Callithrix jacchus: one gene and its partners. The protein of the gene in region 4 interacts with the protein of the main gene of each other region in a pairwise test. Links are inferred from orthologs where the notes say so. Each region holds a gene or a part of one and is shown on either strand. Other genes may lie near its edges. The genes, in order: MAL2, RTN3, AGTRAP and PTPN9.

Region 1 (5,550 bases), on a different chromosome or scaffold from region 4:
AATTAACTGGGCATAGTGGTGCACGCCTGTAATCCCAGCTACTCAGGAGGCTGATGCAGGAGAATTGCCTGAACCCAGGAGGCGGAAGTTGCAGTGAGCTGAGACCGCGCCATTGCACTCCAGCCTGGGTAACAAGAGCAAAACTCCATCTCAAAAAAATAAAATAAAATAAAAAAGAGTAGCATTCTTGACCTATGAAATGCTTCCTAGAGACCAAAATGAGGCCAATGTGGCCAACAGGAAATGGTGTGTAATGGTAAAGAGGTCAAGGGATCAGATCACACCAAGAGTTGCCAGTCCTGTCACTGAATCGCTTTATTACATAATCAGCTGAATCTGAGGATTCACCTCAGTAAATTAAATGAGTGTTAAGTGATCTCAAATTTCCTCCTAATTTTTCTAAGATCCAGCTTCATTTCATTTAGCCATTAAAAGTGGTGACATTTGGATTTGGAGTTGAACCTTCGTCAGCTAGTATTTGTTGAATAACCGCATGTATTTAGCATCTCTCCTATAGATTAGACATGTGGCCAGTATGTAACACTTTTCTTAAATCTTAAGGCATTTGTGAATCAGTTTACAAATGAGAGTTATTTAATAGAAAGCACACCTTTGTAGTTTTTAACCCATGGTTGGTTAAATTTGTCCTAGCAGAGTATTTTAGATATGAGAACAATTCCTGTAAACAGTATCATTTGCTGTATGGCATTTACAAAGGCAGTACAATGCTCTCCTTTGTAATATTGCTATGCCACTAATAGAAATCAATAATAGGTTTGATAGGAAAGAAAGTGGACTTCAAAGGGAACCCTTGCACACTGTTGGTAGGAACGTAAATTAGTACAGTCATTATGGAGAACGGTGTGGAAGTTCCTCAAAAAGTTAAAAATAGAACTACCATATGATCTAGCAATCCCACACCCGGGTATATATCTGAAGGAAATAAAATCAGTGAGATTTCTACATTCTCATATTCATTACAGCATTATTGATAACAGCCAAGATACAAATTCAAACCTGAGGATCTATCTGCAGATGAATGGATAAAGAAAATCCAGTATATATTTTGCAATACTAATTCAGCCTTTAAAAAGAAGGAAATCCTGTCATTTGCAATATACATGAACCTTATGTTATGTAAAGTAAGCCAGGCACAGAAAGACCACATGATCTTAAGCTGAATTTACAGAAGTAGACAGTAGAATGGTGATTCCCAAGGGATGAGCTGATGGGGGACTGTGGAAAATGTTGGTCAAAGGATACAAATTTCAGTTAGGAGAAATAAGTTCAAGAGATCTATTGTGTAGCATGATGACTATAGTTAGTAACAGTGTATTATATTCTTGAAAAATGCTAAAAGAATATATTTTAAATGTTCTCACCACAAAAAAAAGAATTATGGGAAGATATATGTATATGCTTTATTTAGCCATCCCACAATGTATAAATATTTCAAAACATGTATACAATAAATATGATTTTTGTCAAGTAAAATAATTTAAAAAAAATAAACTGAACTTTGGGACCAGACACACTACAGGTTTTTCTCCCTCCTAAAATTAATATTTACATGGCTTTAAACAGTCATTTAACTGAAAAGAAATTATTTATTTAATGGAGATAATTAATGGTGGTTATAAGGTTGAGCAATAATGCACATAAGGTATCTGATATGTGGGAACTGTTACAAACAGTAATGTGTTGATACATTAATTCAGGTAAGACCACATGAACTATAACAGTGTTAATGCTTCGCTGAATGTCAGCAACAAAGAAGCCTAACAAATGAGGTCTTATACTTCTTGTGGAAGTATATAACATGTTAGTTTTTAATGAAACAAACATGGATATATGTTATTGAATTATATATTTAATTAGTCTTCTGTATTTTCAATGGAAAATCTCTAATGATAATAACTGGTCAAAAATAGTTTATATAATTTATATGAATACATATAATAATGTTATTTAAATGCTACTTTACTTGAATTTTAAAGACAGCATATGTATGGCTTTTTTATATTATCCTAATTAACATTGATCTCTATGGGCATCTTAATCCAAATTAAAATATTATATAATTATAAAATTCAGTCTATGGAAAGGTTTGCCAATTTACCAATGTGCCAGTTAAAATGGGTTGATTTTCACTTGGATTCTAATAGTTGCTATAGAAACGTCAGGCCAAGATACACAGAGAAGGTAATTAAGATGGTTTAATTAAATGTTTTGATCTTGCTAAACCTAGCCTTCATTTGAAATACAGAATGGAAAATGTCTTATTAATTGCAGATGTCTTTTCTCTCCTCTTTTAGGATTTTGCCTACCATTTCACAGTGTTTGTCTTCTATTTTGGAGCCTTTTTATTGGAAGCAGCAGCCACATCCCTGCACGATTTGCATTGCAATACAACCATGACCCTGCAGCCGCTCCTGAGTGATAACCAGTATAACATAAATGTAGCAGCCACAGTAAGTACTCAATGAGTACTGTTCACCAGCACTTCCGCTCCACTGTCAAGGCCTCCAAGAAACTCTTCAGGCAACAGTACTCTTTAATACTAGCCGTTAATGTTAAATATATCATAGCTGTTATCTGTACAGTAACCCTGTGAGCAAAGTGCCATGATCACTTTGCTCACAGGGTTGCAGGTGATTAAACTGAAGCATAAAGAGGTTGATGTTCACATAAGACCACAGCAAGCCACCGTCTCTCATTAAGAATTGGCTAGGCCTGGTGTGTTGTGCCTGTAGTGCCACCTGTTTGGGAGGCTAAGGTGAGAAAATCTCCTGAGCCCAAGGAGGCGGAGGTTGCAGTGAGCTGAGACCACACCACTGCACTCCAGTCTGAGTGACAGACCAAGACTCGGTCGAGGGATGGGGGGGAATGGGGAGTAACCAGTATGACTAAGGAACTGTATTTTTAATATTATTTTAATAATTTTAACCACATGTGACTAGTGGCTATCATATTAGACAATAAAGGTCTGGAGTCTGAGTTTTGAGGGGTCTGCAAAAAGAACTGTGTTTTTGCTTCTTATAACTTTCAGACATGGTAAGGGATATTTCCCAGTTTGGTTCTTTAGTATTCAATAGCTGTTTGCACGTTAATTTTATTCAATGAATAGATACTGTGGGCCTACCATATATCAAGTAATTTTGCTGGCTGTTGAGGATGGGGTGGATAAGCTGCAGTTGTTGCCATTCAGGGAAGTGCAGGTGAGGAAGGGAGGCAACTATGCCAGCCATTGCAGTAGATGGTAGGCAGATGAAATGCATTCCTTGGGGCATTTATAAATTTTTAAATCATCTTTAATTCACATACTGGAGTGAATTTGTCATTTTGTATTGTATAGATAATAATTTGAAGAACTAATGTATTATTTTTGTTGTTAAAGATCACTTTTAAGATGCTAGAAGTCCAAATTTTCTGAAATAGTGTGATATTTAATATAAATATATGGCAAATTAGTGACCCTAATGTTTTATTATGTTTCCCAGGTAGCCTGTAAATAACCCAGTACTCCCCATATAGGCATTGAAATCTGTCTGGAGCAGCACTGTCTAGTAGAACTTTCTTTTTTTGTAAGTGCTGTCCAATATGTTGGCCACTAGGCTCATGTGGCTGTTGAGCAATTGAAAAGTAAGCCAAAGAGTCATGGCTCATGCCTGTGATCCCAGCACTTTGGTAGACCGAGGTGGAAGGGGACTGCTTGAGGCCAGGATTTCTGGAGCAGCCTGGTCAACATAGCAAGACCCTGTCTCTCAAAGTGGGGAAAAAAAAGAATCAAGAATTGGCCAGGCCTGGTGGCTTGTGCCTGCAGTGCTACCTGTTTGGGAGGCTGAGGTAAGAAAATCTCTTTAGCGCAGGAGGCGGAGGTTGTAGTGAGCCGGGAGCACACCTCTGCACACCAGCATGATGAAGGAACTGAAGTTTTAGTATTATTTTAACCACATGTGGCTAGTGGCTATCAGACAATAAATACCATTCTAGAGTCTGAATTTTGAGGTGTAGAAGACAAATGATTTCAAGACCCATTATAAGTTTCCCAAGTCTCTGATAGGATTTGTCAAAATTTATTGAGTGCCTACAATGAATTAGGCTGAAGGTGGGATTACAACAAAGAGTCATGGTTTTAGCTTTGAAATGTCCCATCCATGGGACATCAGATTGGGAGGCAAATTCCTTTTCCCTAATACATGTATCAAAAGCTATTGCTGTCATTTAGAAAACAATGTCTAGATTAGAAATTGTCAGAGAATCAATCAGCAGAAGAAGGGTGGAAAGAATAGCAGAAAAGCAATTAAACTGTGAAAATGATCTATAGGTGAATCCAGTATTGCTTCCCAGAGCTATAGTTTCCTCGTTAAGAACCCTTGTGCTAAACCATAATATTTATCATGTTGAACTGCTTTTGCTTTGTCTTTTAGTCTTCTATGGATCATAAACCCCAAAAGGGTGAGGACATTATCTACTCTTTGCTTATATGTACCAAATGTAGTAATATACACACAGTTGGTGTTGAAGAAATTCTCATTAAATTCTAAGAACACAGTAGAGTGCACATTTGTGCATAGGACTGTCTCCCATACGAGAGAAAGCCAACCTGATCATTCATTTCCACTTGTCTTTGTTGACTTTTAAAGTTACTTTCCATTGTCATGGAAATTATTTGATGCATCCTCAGGTTCCGAGGGTTGCTGGTTTTCTTGGCTGTGAAACCACTACATGTATAGAACTTCATGATGAATTTTTAAATATGGTGCCTGGGGGTTCACAGATACTTAATAAGTGAGCCCAGCATGTGAACAAACGTTCAATGTAAAGTTATCTATAAATGAGAAAATTAATAGGGCTAAAATATTTAAAGGAATTGGGGGGTAATTGTATGAGGGAATAAAACAGTTGTACAAGTCATCAAAAAAAATCAATATAAAATATTTTCTAAGTGTCTTTAGGAGATTGTTCAATCTTCATATGGCTGTTCTTTAGGACACTGTGTTTAAATCAGTGTTGTAAATCTGATGTGAATTTTTGTTTCTTTTTTCTTAGATTTTTGCCTTTATGACGACAGCTTGTTATGGTTGCAGTTTGGGTCTGGCTTTACGAAGATGGAGACCGTAACACTCCTTAGAAACTGGCAGTCGTGTGTTAGTTTCATTTGTCTACTTTATATTTCTGATTAATTTGGTTACCATTTTGTCCAGATGTAAAAACATTCCAAAAGTAGTTTGCTTAGGAGGGAGAGACTCTAAGCTCAAGTTTTGGTTTATTTCATGGATGGAATGTTAATTTTCTTATGAAGTTAAAAAAAAATGGCCTTTTATATTTCTCCCCTTCTTCCCTTCCTTTTTTCTTTTCTGAAAGTTTCCTTTTATGTCCATAAAATACAAACATATGGTTCATAAAAAATTAGTATACCTTTTGTCTGGTTGCTGAGTCACCTGAACCTTAATTTTAACTTTCTAAAAACACATTTCAATGTTCCCACTGACCTCCATATTTTAGCGTGAAACAGGAAACGGTACACTTTGAGAATGGGCCAGATGG
Region 2 (5,820 bases), on a different chromosome or scaffold from region 4:
CTAGCCTGGACAACATGGCAAAACCCTGTCTCTAGTAAAAATACAGAAATAAGCCAGGTGTGGTGGCGGGCGCCTGTAATCCCAGCTACTTGGGAGGCTGAGGCAGGAGAATCACTTGAACCCAGGAGGTGAAGGTTGCAGTGAGCTGAGATTGCACCACTTCACTCCAGCCTGAGAGACAGAGTAAGACTCTGTCTCAAAAAAAAAAAAACAGGTGTGGTAGTACACACCTGTAATCCCAGCTACTCAGGAGGCTGAGGCAGGGGAATAGCTTGAACCCAGGAGACAGAGGCTTCAGTGAACTGAGATTGTACCACCACACTCCAGCCTGGGCAACAGAACGAGACTGTGTCTCCAAAAGAGAAAACACAAACCATATAAGCTGAACTTCCCTGTGATGTGGAGTCAGTTTGACGCACCTCAGAGTTGTTTGAAGAGAGAGGTTCCCAAACAGTTTTATCATAACCTTAGTTCCCTGAATATTTTCTGGTAGAAATACTGACTAGTAAGTTCAGTAACAATGCATGGCTCAGACTGTGGAATATTTCTGATTTAAATGTAATCTATAGTACTTTACACTTCAGGCTTTTGAACTTTTTAACCTGCAATGCTGGGCTTCATTTCTATTATGCCCTAATCTAGTCATGCAGAATATTCATTCTATAGAATGGTAGATGCAAACCATGTTTACTAAATTAGAACTACATATGAGTTAAAGTTTACTTCAAGTGTTTTGTTCTGGTAATATAGCTTTGCCACCAAGGTTTAACCGTTTTTCTTCAATGTACAAAGACTTTTTGTTTTACTAACCAGATTACAGTTATACTATTTCTAAAGTTCAACTCTTATTACATCAAATTTCAGTGATGTGTTGAAGTAGGGGAACTTCATATGGCATTTCAAAACATTTTTATAATAGCAGAATTTGATTTATTGTAAAATATTTTTGTCTTTAATAATTTGGAATAAAGTCATAATTTTGCTTTTATCTGATATTTGGGTGTTTACATGAAAAAGGGAACATAAGCTGAATAAAAGTAATCCCAAAAGAATTTATCTGTGACATTTTCCCAGTTACTCATTCATGCTCAAGACATTGCTGTCCTGAGCCTACTTAGGTCTCAGCTGACCAAGCAAAATCTTTGATTCACTTATTTGGGGCTATTTAAGACCCACTTTGTTCCAGCTGCAGATACAAGAGTATGCAAGAAAGACAACATCCAGGGCTGGGCGAGGTGGCTCGTGCCTATAATCCCAGCACTTTAGGAGGCCAAGTTGGTCAGATTGCTTGAGCCCAGTAGTTTGAGACCAGCCTGGCAACACAGCAAGACCCCATGTTTGCAGAAAGTTTAAAAATTAGCCAGGTGTGGTGGCAAGTGCCTGTGGTCCCTGCTACTTGGTAGGCTGAGGTGGGAGGAGAGCTTGAAGCCAGGAGGTCAAGGCTGTTCACGATTGCACCATTTACACTCCAGTCTGGGGGACAGAGGAAGACCCTGTCTCAAAAACAAACAGATAAATAAAGAAAATAAGAAAGCACCAGCCCTTGGGATGTTTGTTTTTATCCTTTTCCCTAATAACTTGTTAGAGTGGGAAGTTAGGAAACAGTGTGGTAGATTGATGGCTACTGTGGTATTTGGTATTAATTACTGATAAGACTTAATGTATTACTTTGAAAAGGATATTTTCTATTTTAAAAGTAATTCTGGAGTTAACTGGTTTTTTTTTTGTTTGTTCGTTTGTTTTTTGAGTTGGGGTTTTGCTCTTGTTACCCAGGCTGGAGTGCAATGGCGTGGCCTCCTGGGTTCAAGTGATTCTCCTGCCTTAGCCTCCTGAGTAGCTGGGATTACAGGCGCCCACCACCACACCCAGCTAATTTTTTGTATATTTAGTAGAGACGGGGTTTCAGCATTTTGGTCAGGCTGGTCTTGAACTCCTGACCTCAGGTGAGCCACTGTGCCCAGCCGAGTTAACTCTGTCTTAACCGAAGTGTCAATTTGCATGGTACAATATTGATTTAAATGACAAGTTGGTACAAGAGATTTTGGAGGGGCTAGGTGGGCGTGGTGGCTCATGCCTGTAAACCCAACACTTTGGGAGGCTGAGTGGGGTGGATCACTTAAGATTGGGAGTTCAAGACCAGCCTGACCAAAATGCTGAAACCCCATGTCTACTAAAAATACAAAAAAGTAGCCAGGCATGGTGGCAGGCGCTTGTAATCCCAGCTACTCAGGAGACTGAGGCAGGAGAATCCCTTGAACCTGGGAGGTGGAGGTTGCAGTGAGCCTATATTGCGCCATTGCACTCCAGCCTGGCCGACAAGAACAAGACTCCATGTAAAAAAAAGAGAGAGAGATTTTGAAGTAGGTCAACCTTTTTCAGTACCCTTTAGTTTAGAACATCACGGCTATTTATTTATACATGGGACAAATTCTTCCTGTGGATAGAATTCAATAATTCTTGTCTCATTTCAGGCTCAGGAAGCATCTGTTGTATCTCCTAAAAATCAAAAAGAAATCTGGCCACTTATTTTTTTCCTTCTCAGATTGTGAGACTGTAACATTGGATTTATAGAAGCAGTGTGTGCTCTGAATTGTTCAGTTTACAGATTGAAGTCTATCAGTGCATCATAGTGTCAAGTTACTTGTTTTGTATGGATTATTTTGCTTTGGTTGATTAGCTCTACCAGAATAATAAAAACCTCCCTAGATTTCTCAATTTTATCGCCCTTCGTTATGCTTTCTCTTTACAGTGGAAAAGTAGACCAAAAAGTATTTGTCATGAAAATTTTTTGTCATTTGCAGTTCCCAGCATGAAATGGCTTTTCTGTTTTGCTGTTGGCAGTTTTATGCATGTCCTGTAGGATGACTTGATTGTTTTGTTACGTATTTATGTGTGTATATATACATCCTGTGTGTGTATATACATATTTATGTAATTTTAAAATTAAAAAGCATGCTGCTTGGCTTGGCTAGCTAATGTGTAATTGTACCTGGTAAACAATTTTTTTCTTTGAAATTCTGATCATAGAGGTATTGAGCTCTCTTTGCTCCAGTGAGCCATCTTCAGAAATTATGACTTCTTCCTTTCTTTTATCTTCTGAAATACATAATACTGGCCTTACAATACTACATGGAGAAAAAAGCAAAGTGTTAGGGAGCCAGCCTATTTTAGCCAATGAAGGAAAAGACCACTTGGATCTAAAAGATACGAAAAAAATGGAAAAGCCCCAGGGGACCAGCAACAACGTATCAGACTCTTCAGTTTCTCTTGCAGCAGGAGTTCATTATGACCGTCCTTCTATTCCAGCCAGTTTCCCAGAGCATCCTGCTTTTCTCTCAAAGAAAATTGGTCTAGTGGAAGAGCAAATAGATAAAGAGACCAAGAACCCAAATGAGGTATCAAGTAGGGAAGCTAAAACTGCATTGGATGCTGATGACAGATTCACTTTGCTAACAGCCCAGAAACCACCTACTGAGTACTCTAAGGTAGAAGGCATTTATACATATTCTTTGTCCCCATCCAAAGTTTCAGGAGATGGTGTTATTGAAAAGGATTCCCCTGAATCACCATTTGAAGTAATTATTGACAAAGCAGCATTTGATAAAGAATTTAAAGACTCATATAAGGAGAGCACAGATGATTTTGGTAGCTGCTCTATGCACACTGATAGAGAATCATCCGAAGACATTTCAGAGACTAATGACAAGCTTTTTCCACTGAGAAATAAAGAGGCAGGACGTTACCCAATGTCTGCATTGCTCAGTAGACAGTTTTCACAGACAAATGCAGCACTGGAAGAGGTGTCTAGATGTGTGAATGATATGCATAACTTCACTAATGAAATACTGACTTGGGATTTGGTTCCCCAAGTGAAACAACAGACCGATAAATCCTGTGACTGCATCACAAAAACTACAGGACTTGTCATGAGTGAATATAATTCAGAAATTCCAGTTGTAAATCTTAAAACTAACACTCATCAGAAAATTCCTGTATGTTCTGTTAATGGGAGCACTCCCGTCACTAAATCAACAGGTGATTGGGCAGAAGCATCTCTCCCACAAGAAAATGCTATCACTGGAAAACCTATAGCAGATCCTCTCAGTTCCGCAAAAGAATTCAGTATCAGAGGTGTACAAGGCAATACGCAGAAACAGGATGACATACTTGCAGAATTACCCGGGACTACACCTGAGAAATGTGACTCTTTGGGTTCTGGAGTGGCCACAGTGAAAATGGTTTTATCTGATGACCACCTGAAAGATGAAATGAACTGGCAGAGCTCTGCATTGGGAGAAATCACAGAGGCCGATAGTTCCGGTGAGTCTGATGACACTGTAATAGAGGACATCACAGCAGATTCATCATTTGAAAATAACAAAATTCAGGCTGAAAAACCTGTTTCCATTCGAAGTGCTATTGTAAAAACAGGTGAAAGAGAAATCAAAGAGACTCCCAGTTGTAAGAGAGAAGAAGAAACATCTAAAAACTTTGAGGAGTTGGTCAGTGCTTCTGAACTACATCAAGATTGGCCTGATACTCTTGAAAGGAGTCCAGCTGGTGAGGCAGCATGTTCAAAAGTACCCAATATGAATATCTCTGTAGATGTGAAGCAGTCAGATAAAGTGAGTGAAGTTGTGCCTGAAAAGCCTATTACTACTCAGAACCCCAAACTTCCTTCAGTGTCTCCAGATGTTTCTAATGAGACAGAATTCTCATTAAATATGACAACATCTGCCTATTTAGAGTCATTAGATGGGAAAAATGTTAAACATATAGATGATTCCTCCCCAGAGGACCTAGTAGCAGCCTTTACAGAAACCAGAGAGAAAGGAATAGTAGCTAGTGAAGGAAATGCCTTTAAGGCAGGATCAGAGAAGACCACAGACTTTAAAACAGCTCTTCCTGTAGAAAAAGTCTTACGTGAAAATGAGCCTGGTGGTTCTGAAATTAAAGACATTGGAAGCAAATACAGTGAACAAAGCAAAGAAACAAATGGAAGTGAACCTCTAGGTGTTTTCCCCACCCAAGGTACTCCAGTAGCATCCCTTGACTTAGAACAAGAACAGCTCACAATCAAGGCTCTTAAAGAATTAGGTGAAAGACAGGTTGAGAAGTCAGCTTCTGTACAGCATGACACAGAATTGCCTTCTGAAGAAGTGCTGAAACAAACTTTCACATTCGCTCCAGAATCTTGGCCACAGAGATCATGTGACATCCTAGAACATAATGTCAAGAATGGATCTGATCTTGGGATTTCCCAAAAGCCCACTGCTATCAGAGAAACCACTAGGGTAGATGCTGTTTCCAGCCTTAGCAAGACTGAATTAGTAAAAAAGCATGTCCTAGCAAGACTTCTGACAGACTTCTCAGGTAACTATTCACATCAGAATACTGCATGTGGTTAATTCTGTGATTGATTATTTATCAGCATGCCATTTATGTTAGAGGCCGATTTATACCTACAGATTATGGCTAGAATATAATATACTGTATGATGGGAAAGGCAGATTCTTCTTCTCTCTCTCTTTTTTTTTAATAATGATTGTTTGATTTGGTTTCCTTAATACCAGTATTTCCCAAAGCAGTAGACCACTTTGTAAAATTAATCTTCCCCTAAAATTTTTTTCTATGCTCCAGTTATATTTCAAGGTATGTCTTTTCTTATAGGTTGGCCCTAGGGTGATATTAGGTGAGAACCTAATATCATCAGGTTCTTACTTATTTACAAAGCTTATTTCTAAATCTTTATAACAGTCACACTTCTTAGCACTTGGGTTTATTGATATGGACATTGTGAAATCTTAGCAATCAAAGATA
Region 3 (5,820 bases), on a different chromosome or scaffold from region 4:
TTTTTTTTGAGACGGAGTCTGGCTCTGTTGCCCAGGCTGGAGTGTAGTGGCACAATCTCGGCTCACTGCAGCCTCTGCCTCCTGGGTTCAAGTGATTCTCCTGCCTGAGCCTACTGAGTAGCTGGGACTACAGGCATGTGCCACCATGCTTAACTAATTTGTGTATTTTTAGTACAGACAGGGTTTCACCATGTTGGCCAGGCTGGTCTGGAACACCTGACCTCAAATGATCCACCCACCTCGGCCTCCCACAGTGGTGGAATTACAGGCATGAGCTACCATGCCTGACAGCACCTGCTTGCTTGCTTTTTTTCTGTTTTTTTTAAATCTTTTCCTACAGTCTAGCATGTGAACCTGCTTTCTTAAAAGCAAAAGATAAGATGGTTTATTCGAAGACCTATTGAATCCATTGACACTAAAAACCTGCCTTGCACATGTCTTCTTCATGCTGCCCTTCAGTGAATGTCATATAAATCTAGGAAGTGGTCGCTGCATGCAGGGGCAGGCAAGTCCCAGTGGGTTTGGTAATAAACGAGGTAGACTCAGTCCTGGTCCTTCTGGGTCTTCTTTGCAGCACAGCAGGGTGACAAGAGCATGGCCTCTCCAGCCAGACTCCAAATTCCAGCCTCACCGCTCAGCAGCTGTGTGAGCTTGGGCAAGTTACTTAACCACTCTGTGCCTCAGTTTCCTCATCTATAATAGGATAACAATACTTCCTGCCTAGGGTTGTTAACATAAATGCACATAAATGAGTTAATTTAAAGCAGTAAGAACCAGCCGGGCACAGTGGCTTACGCCTGTAATCCCAGCACTTTGGGAGGCCGAAGGCGGGTGGATCACGAGGTCAGAAGTTCGAGACCATCCTGGCCAAGATGGTGAAACCCCGTCTCCTATTAAAAATACAACAATTAGCTGGCGTGGAGGTGTACGCCTCTAATCCTCGCTACTCAGGAGGCTGAGGCAGAAGAATCGCTTGAACCCAGGAGGCAGAGCAACGTTGTAGTGAGCCAAGATTTTGCCACTGCACTCCAGCCTGGCTGACAGAGCGAAACTCCGTCAAAAATAAATAAATAATAGTTAGAACCATGCCAGGTACTAGCAAGTGCTCTGTGTTCACTATGATTTTGATTGGATTGACAAGTGAACAAATCAACAATGTCAGTTAGGCAATACCCTAAATGGTAGAATAGGGTGGGCCTTGTGTTAGGAAAGTGACGAGGTCGTACTTAGCATTGGTGGGTGAGGGAAGGAGTCTCAGAGTGAACATTCAAGCTGCTGCTCAATGACAAAAGGGGGGCCAAGTGTCAGAGTAGAGGGCGCCCACTGTACGGGGCTGTGGCTGGGAGGTCAGGGAGGGCGGGGCTGGGCCCGGGGTCCCACGGGCCCCTTAAGCCCTGGTGAAGAGTCTGCATTTTATTCCAAATGGGATGGAAAACTGTTGGAGGATTTTTAGCAGAGGATTGACAGCATCTGACTACACTACCAGTTGCTATTTAGAGAACAGAGTGGCAGTCAGGAGGCTGTCATCTGGCAGGAGACGGAGGTGCTTGGGACCTGCAGGGACACAGCCAGATCCAGGGTCTGGGTGGGAGGCGAGCCCATGGGATTTGCTGGCACATAGCCAGGTGGCCTCAAAGACTAAGGTCTGTTCTGGGAGGAGGCCCTGAGACCCCTGGCACAGGAGGGAGGTGACCTGCGGGTTGGTGGCCACCTGATGGGACTAAGCTGCTTCTTTGACAGGGGCTGCATCGTGTTCTCGGGCTCCTATGCCTGGGCCAACTTCACCATCCTGGCCTTGGGCGTGTGGGCTGTGGCTCAGCGGGACTCCATCGACGCCATAAGCATGGTGAGCCAGGGCGGGGGCCGAAGCACAGGGCGACACACGGCCTGGCTCTGCCTCCCTGTCCCATCCCAATCTTCCTTCTCTTCCTGGGGCCACCACTGCCTGTTGTCTAAAGCCTTTTTCTTCAGCCTCCCGGGTGTCAGCCCATGCCTGTCTTTGGGAGCGAGCATGCTACTCTTCTTGCCTGGCTTAGAGAAGCCCAGGTCTGCCATTATCTCCCCCAGGAAAGCCAAGGGGTGCCCCAGATTGGCTTCTCTGCAAGAGCAATGGAGCATTCCCTATAACCTGCCTCTGGGGCTCTCTTTTAGGGGAGAGGACATGGAGACCCAGCCAAGGGGGCACGCCACTACTTTAGGAAGGAGAGGTGACCCAGGCCGACCGAAACTTCCCACAGGGGAAGCTTCTTAGCACCCACCAAGCCCCGTGGGGCAGCGTGCACCCCCTGCACCGGCTCTTCAAGCCTTGGCCAGGGCTCGGGGTGACTGAGGAGTGAGAAGGGATTTCCTTTTTCTTTTTTTTTTTGTTCTGAGACAGTCTTGCTCTGTCGCCCAGGCTAGATTGCAGTGGTGCGATCTCAGCTCACTACAACCTTTGCCTTCCAGGTTCAGTGATTCTCCTGCCTCAGCCTCCCAAGCAGCTGGGACTACAGGCATGTGCCATCATGTGCGGCTAATTTTTTGGATTTTTAGTAGAGATAGGGTTTCACCTTATTGGCCAGGCTGGTCTCGAACTCCTGACCTCATGATCTACCTGCCTTAGCCTCCCAAAGTGCTGGGATTACAGGCATGAGCCACCGTGCCTGGCCCTGAGAAGGGATTTTCTTCGTGTTGGAGACAGACTGGGTGAACAAGGAACCTTCCTTTATGGAGGTTCTAGAGCCCAGTCTTGTGCCCATCATGGTCTTAGAGGTGATCGAAAATGGGTAGGGAGGGAGGCTCTGTGGAACCGAGACCTGAGCCCCCTGCGTCCCTGCCCCTAGACTGCAGTCTCAGCCAGCCGCTCCCCTGTGAGTCCTGCCTGCTTGCTTGCTCAGTTTTCCAGCAAGCCCCAAGGACACAGTAGGGCATGAAACAGCTTCGCATCTGGTACATGGTGGGGAGCCACGGGACACGGCAGGGCTCTTGTGCTCATCAGTGCCTGTGTCTTGCAGTTTCTGTGTGGCTTGCTGGCCACCATCTTCCTGGACATCGTACACATCAGCATCTTCTATCCGCGGGGAAACCTCACGGACACGGGCCGCTTCGGCGCGGGCATGGCCATCCTCAGCTTGCTGCTCAAGCCGCTCTCCTGCTGCTTCATCTACCACATGTACCGGGAGCGCGGGGGTGAGCTCCTGGTCCACACTGGTGAGGCCACCACCTCTGGCCAGCTCCCCACCACTCCCTTCTCTCCCTTGCCTGGCCCCCAGGCTCTCCCCCAGTGAGCTGGCCTTACCCCATGGGGCCAGCAGGAAGAGCATGGCATGGGCACTCTGTACCAGGCTGGAGGAGTCCAAGCTCCTGGTCTCTGCTGCAGGAGCCCAGGGGTCCCCTGACTGTCCTGGTCCGCTGCGACCTTCTCCTGCTGTGAGGCTAAGGCTAGGCCCTTCTCTCAGCCTAGAGCACAGGCACAGCTGGGGGTACCATTTAGTTCCCAGGGGCAGCCCTGGGCTATCTCCAGCATGAGGGCCACCGGCACCTACAGGTCTCCTCTCTGTTCTCACCGGGCCCCAACACTGGAACCCCATTTCCTGCCACGTGGGGTCTTTCCTCTCCTGCGGCAGAGATTGTGCTAGGTAGCCAAAGGAGAGCCTGCTCTAGCGTAGGCTGTGTGAGCCTCAGCGAAGACGGCCCTGAACTGTGGGCACTCCCCGTACCCACCAATCCCTCCCCACTCGCCCATCCTCACCCTCACCCCGCCCTCTCCCATGCCCTTTCCTGTACCCCTTCTGCTGGTGGCCGAGCTGTTTGCCTGCTCTCTGACACCTCTGTCTCTCCTTTCTCTTTGAGAGGAGTGGAGGGAGGTTGTGGGGTGTGGCCTTCTACCTTTCACTCCTGAGAAGAGAGGCCTCAGGTGGCCTGTGACTGCCACCAGCTGGTCGAGGGTAAGAATGGCCTGGGGCTGCCCCCAGGGAAGGGGTGCCAGAATGTATCTCCCATTGGACAGATGAGGAAACTGAGGCCCACAGCCCTTGGGACGTGCTCAAGGTCTCAGGATGAATGTGCAGAGGAGGGGATGAGAGTGAGGAGTGTGGGGTGTTTGGAGCTACAGTCCTGCCTTGGACTCAGCCCCAGCCTCCAAGGCCATCTGGATACAGTAATGTGGTGTCCTTCTGCCTGAGAGGGGAGCTGGAGAGGAGTGTGTGGGCCCGGGGCTGGTGTCCCTCTGCCCAGGTTCCTGAGCACTTGCTGCCTGAGGAACCACCCCATGGCACAGTGGCCTGGAGCCTGGCTTTGGGCTTGGCTGCCTAGGCGTGGGTCGCAGCATCATCGCTTCGAGCTGTGTGATCTCAGCAAGTCAGTTCATCTCTTTGACCCACTGTTTCCTCATCTGTAAAGTGGGGATGATACCTGCTGCAAGGAGTACGGGAGGATTGAATGAATGATACACGCTAAAAGCTTAGTGCCTGGGGCTGCTGCCTCTGTCTCTGTGGTGGTGTCAGGATGCCTGGCCCCAGGGTGGCAGGGGTAGATCTTGCCTTGGACTCAGCAGAATGTCTTGAGGTCTCCCCATTCACTTTTCTTTCCCATCATGTCCCCTGCCACCCAGGTTTCCTTGGATCTTCTCAGGACCGTAGTGCCTACCAGACGATTGATTCACCAGAGGCACCCGCAGATCCCTTTGCAGTCCCAGAGGGCAGGGGTCAAGATGCCCGAGGGTACTGAAGCCAGCCACGCTGCCTCCAGCCCCACCCCAGGTTCTAGGGATGCTCCTGACCTCTATCTCTGGGACCTAAGATGGAATGTGTCTCCAGCCCACGGGTTACCTGAACCAAGTGCCTTGAGAGACCAGGAGCCCCCATGGGCCACCCAGTACACACACTCCTGTCTCAAACTCCCTGAGGCCTCCCTCCCTTCAGGGCACCCGCTGGTTCCCGGGTTGGAATGAAAATCTTTCTTCACCTCCTACTCCATCAAGGCACCACACAGGCCCCCAGCTGAGTCCTGCATGACTGTGGCAGGCTCAGGCCTTTAAGTCCTGGTGATGTCTGTTTGTTGGGCTTTGGGGGAAGCCCTAGAGCTTCAGGTCTGCTCAGCCCAGGAGCAGTCTGGCATGGGAGTGAGGTCCTGTGCTTCTCACTGCCTGGTCATGTGGTGCCTAGCGATACAGGGCTGGAGGCCAGAGGCATCAGCAACACTGACCCACCACAGCCTCCAGCCTCCCTTTTTGGAGCCACAGCATTAAAGTTTGGGGAGTTCTGTAGATGGGCTGTGTTTTGAGCCACTTTCAGTCTCCTGGCTGGGGTGGGGCCTGGCCTTGTTCCTGGGAAGATTTCTCCTGCCAATTCCCAGGTGGAGCCTGCGCTGGGCCACCCCATTCTGTTGTGGCAGGAGGAAATGGGCATGTTTGTTGGCTGAGCTGGGCTTCTGCCTGACTCTGGCCTAGCAGAGGCCACAGCAGAGAGACACTGCTGGGTGTGGTGCGTGGCATCCATTTCTCTGAACCAGATGACCCAAGCACTGGTTTGAATCCTGCTCTGCCACTTACTAGTTGCGTGCCTTCAGTGTCTTCTAGAAAGGGTGGGTGCCTGCTCCAGGTGTAAAGTGTCTGGTGTGAGGAGGGCTCCCTAAGTGATGGCGAAGTTGTTAGTGGACTTGCTCCTCACACCAGTGATGATGCTGGGTTAGGCAGCAGAGGGGGAACTCTTCCTGGCAGCCCCTGTGTCTGGTCACAGCTGACTTGGGCTGACTCATCCAGAAGCTCCCCAGGGCCCAGGCCTTCCCCACTGACAGGTCTGGCTCTCCACAGCTTGCTCTTCTGCCCCCTGGGCGCCAAGT
Region 4 (5,296 bases):
ATCTAGGCGTGGAGAACATGAATCATTATAAGAAAACAACGCTAGAAATTCACAACACAGAGGTAAATCCAGGTTTCTTTTTTCTCACCTTGTTGAAACAGGGGGAGAATAATTACTGTAAAGAAAATCTCCAGAGGGAATAAATAGGATACCAGGGAGGTTATGAGTTGCTTCTGTTTTTCTGGGGTCAGGATGAGGATATTTAACTCACAGCCAATATAGCTATATTACTACAGCACAATAGGAGCATCAAATAGGTATAAAACTTAGAATTTAAGAAATCTGGGGCTGGGTGCAATGGCTTATGCTTGTAATCCCAGCACTCTGGGAGGCCAAGGCAGAGGGATCACTTGAGCCCAGGAGTTCAAGACAACCTAGGCAACACAGTGAGATCCCGTCTCTACAAAACATAGAACAAATTAGCTGGGCATGGTGGCACATGCCTGTGAGGTCAAGGCAGCAGTAGGTTTGATTGTGCCACTGCACTCCAGCCTGTGTGACAGAGTGAGATCCTGTCTCCAAAAAAAAAAAAAAAAAAAACAACTGGGGTCGTACAGTATAGGAATTCTGCCTTTTCCAAACAATTAACTGATCCTTCCTTTGGGTCTGTAGTAAAAGAAGCAATTATGAGAAAAGTTGATAGTGGTGGATAGCAGTCTTGGTGGTAGGGATAACCAGGGTGTTAAGAATCTGGAAAAGCTAGAGGTAGCTAGGGGAAGGCAGAAATGACCTTGTTCACTTTTGCTTTTCTCATTTAAGGAGCGGCAGAAACGGCAGGTGACCCACTTCCAGTTCTTGAGCTGGCCAGACTACGGTGTCCCTTCCTCAGCAGCTTCCCTCATTGACTTCTTGAGAGTGGTCAGAAACCAGCAGAGTCTGGCTGTGAGCAACATGGGAGCACGCTCCAAAGGGCAGTGCCCTGAGCCACCCATTGTGGTCCATTGCAGTGCAGGCATTGGCAGGACAGGTAATGTACCTAATGCAGCTCTTGGTGTCTGCAGAGGCAGTCGGGGTGGAGGAGGAATAACAAAGCTCTTAGCCCACATCTGTGATTGGAGAGGGAAGTCTTTTGCTCCCTTGATGGTGAATTGCTGTGAAAAAATCCCTCTTTTAATGTCCTTTTGGTGGACTAAGAGATGGCCAGAATATATATTTCATAAGCCAAGTCCTCTAGGGGTTGATGTTTTATTCACCCCCATCATAACGCTGACCCTGTTACCTTGTTAGCACTGTCACTGCAGAGAGCTCAGCTGGGCTGCTTCCTTCCCATCTAGCCCTCCCTGGAGGAACTCCCCACCCTGTGCTGTGTTCTCCATTCTGGAGCAAGTTAGCAGCTTTTGCCTTAAGGGGATGTACATGGCAGGAAGTGTGGGCCTTTCTAGCTTAAAGGTCCCTTTGGGAGAAAGTTGGGAATAGGTTTGCGTTAGGCCTCTGAGAAACTTATGGACTCTGGAAATTAGGTGTGGGAGTGCTGTCAGTCTGTCTGTCTGGGATTGAAGCAGGAAGTTACCCTGTATCACCCTCCCGTTTCCACTTCTGTTGCCCCAATGTGTGTCCTGAGAGGTAAGAGGCCTTCTGGCCTCCAACACGCCCCATGACCTTCTCCTTGAGTCCTTTCAGGCCTAAGGCCATCTGACCTTCTGCCATGAGGCAGTTTGCCTTTGAATTCATTCATTCAATTCTGCCTGGGTTATTTGATAGAGGGAAGAAGAGATGAGAGGTAAACCAGATGTGATCACTTCCTTCCTTCTTCAGGTACCTTCTGCTCACTGGACATCTGCCTGGCACAGCTGGAGGAGCTTGGCACCCTTAATGTGTTCCAGACGGTGTCACGCATGAGGACCCAGAGGGCCTTCAGCATCCAGACCCCTGAGCAGTACTATTTTTGCTACAAGGCCATCCTGGAGTTCGCAGAGAAGGAGGGCATGGTATCCTCTGGCCAAAACCTTCTGGCCATGGAGGGTCAGTAACTCTTCCACGAACCTCCTACCTGCTGGCCAGCCTTCCTTAAACTACCCTGGACACCGCTGAGCCTATAGGTTGCCATCAGTTACGCTGAAGCCATGGATCAACTTCTTTCTCGTGTCTCCCGGCACATGTGCACGCAAGGCAGCCTTTCCCTTTGGCTAGATAAATGTGGTGAAGTTGCCACTAGAAAGGGCCAGCAGCAATGTGTTCTTAATTCCTAGCACCTGCTATCAAACTGTGCCTTATTAAAACCAAATTGTGGCTATTGATTTTTTCCAGGGTCCCCGAGGTAAGTGGGGAAGGAACATCCCTCCCCCTTTCTCCCACCATTCTCTTTCTGGAGGTCTCCTGTCTCCCACTCCTTCCGTTTGCTAGGATTTTATGGGGAGGTTTGATGAGCATTTGCCTTTCTCCCCAGAGAGCTTGACCAAGTTACATATTCTAGAGATCGTCCTGAGTGCCAAGCACGTTTATAAGTAGGGCGTGTATTCCAGTCCTTTCTGTCATTCTGTGTGTGTGTGTGTGTGTGTGTGTGTGTGTGTATGCACTTAAGTGTATGGGTCCATATGTATGTGTGTATATAATATATATTGTATGTGATAATATCGTATTCTATAAATATATATACACACAGATACTCCTTTGTAGAAGTTCCTGGGGCTTTGTGTTGCAGTTCAGGACTCCTTGCTTCTTGGACCCTACTATTTATCCTGGACTACTTGAGTTGGTGGTCATGTCTCCTGTTGTCAGGCTACAGAGTGGTGGAAGAGGACACACACACATCTCCTCTGTGTTCCTGCCACAGGGCCTCATCCTTAAGTAATTACTTAATCCCCCTCCAGTTGCTACCTGTTGGAGCCAAGAATATTAGTTTGTGGTGACACTGGGTTAACTCTGCATGCATTTTCCTTATCTGATGATTTTTCTCTGCTTATTTGGCCAATTTGGGGAACAGACCTCTACTGTGATTCCATACTCTCTCTTTGCTTTCACTATCCCAGGGATGGGAGGCGGAGGGTAGAGATGAACTCAGAGCAGCCGGAGCCAAAAGCAATCGGTACGAAGTCTTAGAAGGAAGGAGGGGAGCCCAAGTGTGCGAGAGAAAAATCTACTAAGAAAATACCTCCCTGGAAGGATTAGCTGGGGCCCTTTTTTTTTTTTTTTTTTGGCTGGATGGTTCCTTTATGCAGCTTGGCCCTGTCTACTGAGATGCCCGCTAGTCTGCTAGACCCTCAAACTGGGTGGGTTTTGTGTCAATAAAAAGCTTTACCCCCTGGCTGGGTGAGGAGGTCCCCTGCAATCACTGTTTGTCCCCTACCTACCCAACCTGATCCCTGCCTGCTCCCAGCCCACTCATCCTTATGTGCTAGGGATGATTAAGAGTCCCCAGTACTCTACATTCCCAAGAAAATCACAGGAATTCCTAAACCTTCCCCTGTCACAGAAGATGAGGTTGGCAACTGATCAGACCTCAATAATTTTATATTGTAATAAGCTCTTTGAATGTGTATATTCTTATTTTTTACAATCATTTCATTTTGTATTTAATATCAATGGACTGAGTCAGATTCAGAAAATAATTGTAATGTTCATATTCAATATCTTACAGTGATACAGTTTTGTATTTACATATAAATATACCGACATGATCGAAACCCTTTTAGCTTCATCAATTTAGCAGCCTGGGACTGGGAACTTGAGGGAGGGGGTCCAAGAACTGGTCTGGGAGGGATGAGGGAGGCAGGGAGGGACCCAAGTCTTCAGTATCTGAGACTCTGAGTTCTGACTCTTTGAGTTCACCTTGTCTGTAGTCCACAGCCCTATCTCTGGACAGAGGGACCAGCACCAGTTCAGTGCTTGAGATAGACTAAGCACTGTGCTAGGTGCTTTTGCCCCAGTGCCTCATTCACACCTCACAACAGTTCAGTGAGATATTATCCTCTCTCCCTTCTCCTGTGCATCCCTTTCTCATTTCTATATAGATGAGGAAGGTGAGGTCCAGAGGGTTACAGTGATTTGCTCTAAAATGAACTCAAGGTAGTCTGCTTACAAAGCCTGTGGTCTCTTCACTGCGTTGTCTTTGGAGAACAGAGATTTGTTTAGCTCTCCTTTCAGAGTATAAATAGTTCTTAAATTCCAGGTAGTTGTTGTTGAGCTCATGCTTCATGTAGTAAACTGGAAGGGTGACAGGGTTGGTAACTGACTGTCCTAACTGGGACCTCCTGATGTAGGGTCCTCATGTCTGCAGAGTACCAAAGTGGTCATCATTCTCTCCAGGAAACTCCATATATCTGGGTACACTGTCTTTGTGAGAAGATCTTGAGTCATTTGCATTTCTCTCTGCAAAAGAATGGAACTGGAAGCTTTGTCCATGGAAGACCACTCCCCATATCATCCCTGTTGGCTGGGGAAGGGGCAGTTGTGGCTGGGAAATACTGGGGTGTTCTGAATAATAGTCACAGCAGACAGTTTACTGGATGCTCACTCTATTCTAGGCACTGTTCAGAGTAATTTCTAGGTATCGTCTCATTCACCTTCAACAACCTTTTGAGGTAGGTATTCATAGAAAAAAACTGAGACACAGGAATATTAATTTGCTACAGCCAGGATCCATCTGACTCCAAAGTACCTTCTTTGAACTCTTACACTAGACTTCCTCTAATGATCCATCTTCTGATCTGCCAATAAATTTTTCTTGAGTTTCTTACCATAATTGGGAGCTCAAGGGTAGAACAGAAGATTAATCTAGTTCTTTTTCCAGATAAGCCTCCATTCTCTTGGGAGTACACAAACATAAGAAGTGAACAGATTCTTGGAAATTTGAGAGACCAGAGAGGTTAGGGGTTTGATGGAATATGTAAGAAGTGGGGTTTATGATAAAAGGCCTGGCAGAAGTAACTTTAAATTGTCATTTATTTGAAGAGGTTGTAACCCAACTGCCCTGTGAATTTAAGGTTATGCATGAGTTCCTCATTGCATATCTGAAAGATCTGTGAGGTGATCAAGTGATCTCCATAAAATGCCAATTCCTAGGTCCACCCAGTAGGTGGTTAGTGAGTGACAGGATGATCCAGGTTTGGGAACCACAAATTTAGTTCATGTTTCTGACTCTGTAGAGGTAGCAAATTGATGTCTCCCGAATTTTCAGTAAAACTCAGAAACGGTTCAATACGTCTCCTTCCACTGCTGTTGTTTGTAGCTTTTACCACTGCAATCCTACCTGTGTTAGGGGTTACAGGAGGAGGTAAAGGAAAAGGAAGGCAAATAGGGAACCCAGAATATGTCAAGTCAGAATATGACAAGTCAGGGTTCTCATACAGGAGACATA

What was found.
Region 1: the proteins of PTPN9 (region 4) and MAL2 interact in binary tests that used the Homo sapiens proteins (3 or more experiments, as listed by UniProt). The two-hybrid records come from large-scale screens. The link is inferred for Callithrix jacchus from reciprocal best matches to the Homo sapiens genes PTPN9 and MAL2.
Region 2: the proteins of PTPN9 (region 4) and RTN3 interact in binary tests that used the Homo sapiens proteins (3 or more experiments, as listed by UniProt). The two-hybrid records come from large-scale screens. The link is inferred for Callithrix jacchus from reciprocal best matches to the Homo sapiens genes PTPN9 and RTN3.
Region 3: the proteins of PTPN9 (region 4) and AGTRAP interact in binary tests that used the Homo sapiens proteins (3 or more experiments, as listed by UniProt). The two-hybrid records come from large-scale screens. The link is inferred for Callithrix jacchus from reciprocal best matches to the Homo sapiens genes PTPN9 and AGTRAP.

The regions. Positions count from the first base shown.
Region 1 is NC_133517.1:78,167,577-78,173,126, reverse strand, and holds part of MAL2 (protein MAL2), read left to right. Parts: intron 1-2,315; coding exon 2,316-2,471; intron 2,472-4,430; coding exon 4,431-4,458; intron 4,459-5,052; coding exon 5,053-5,186; 3' UTR 5,187-5,550. UniProt on the Homo sapiens protein: Member of the machinery of polarized transport. Required for the indirect transcytotic route at the step of the egress of the transcytosing cargo from perinuclear endosomes in order for it to travel to the apical surface via a raft-dependent pathway.
Region 2 is NC_133511.1:120,766,569-120,772,388, forward strand, and holds part of RTN3 (reticulon-3), read left to right. Parts: intron 1-3,027; coding exon 3,028-5,373; intron 5,374-5,820. UniProt on the Homo sapiens protein: May be involved in membrane trafficking in the early secretory pathway. Inhibits BACE1 activity and amyloid precursor protein processing. May induce caspase-8 cascade and apoptosis.
Region 3 is NC_133508.1:49,631,875-49,637,694, forward strand, and holds part of AGTRAP (type-1 angiotensin II receptor-associated protein), read left to right. Parts: intron 1-1,740; coding exon 1,741-1,846; intron 1,847-2,993; coding exon 2,994-3,189; intron 3,190-4,591; coding exon 4,592-4,707; 3' UTR 4,708-5,820. UniProt on the Homo sapiens protein: Appears to be a negative regulator of type-1 angiotensin II receptor-mediated signaling by regulating receptor internalization as well as mechanism of receptor desensitization such as phosphorylation.
Region 4 is NC_133509.1:22,389,483-22,394,778, forward strand, and holds the end of PTPN9 (tyrosine-protein phosphatase non-receptor type 9), read left to right. Parts: coding exon 1-62; intron 63-759; coding exon 760-967; intron 968-1,755; coding exon 1,756-1,970; 3' UTR 1,971-3,623; downstream 3,624-5,296. UniProt on the Homo sapiens protein: Protein-tyrosine phosphatase that could participate in the transfer of hydrophobic ligands or in functions of the Golgi apparatus.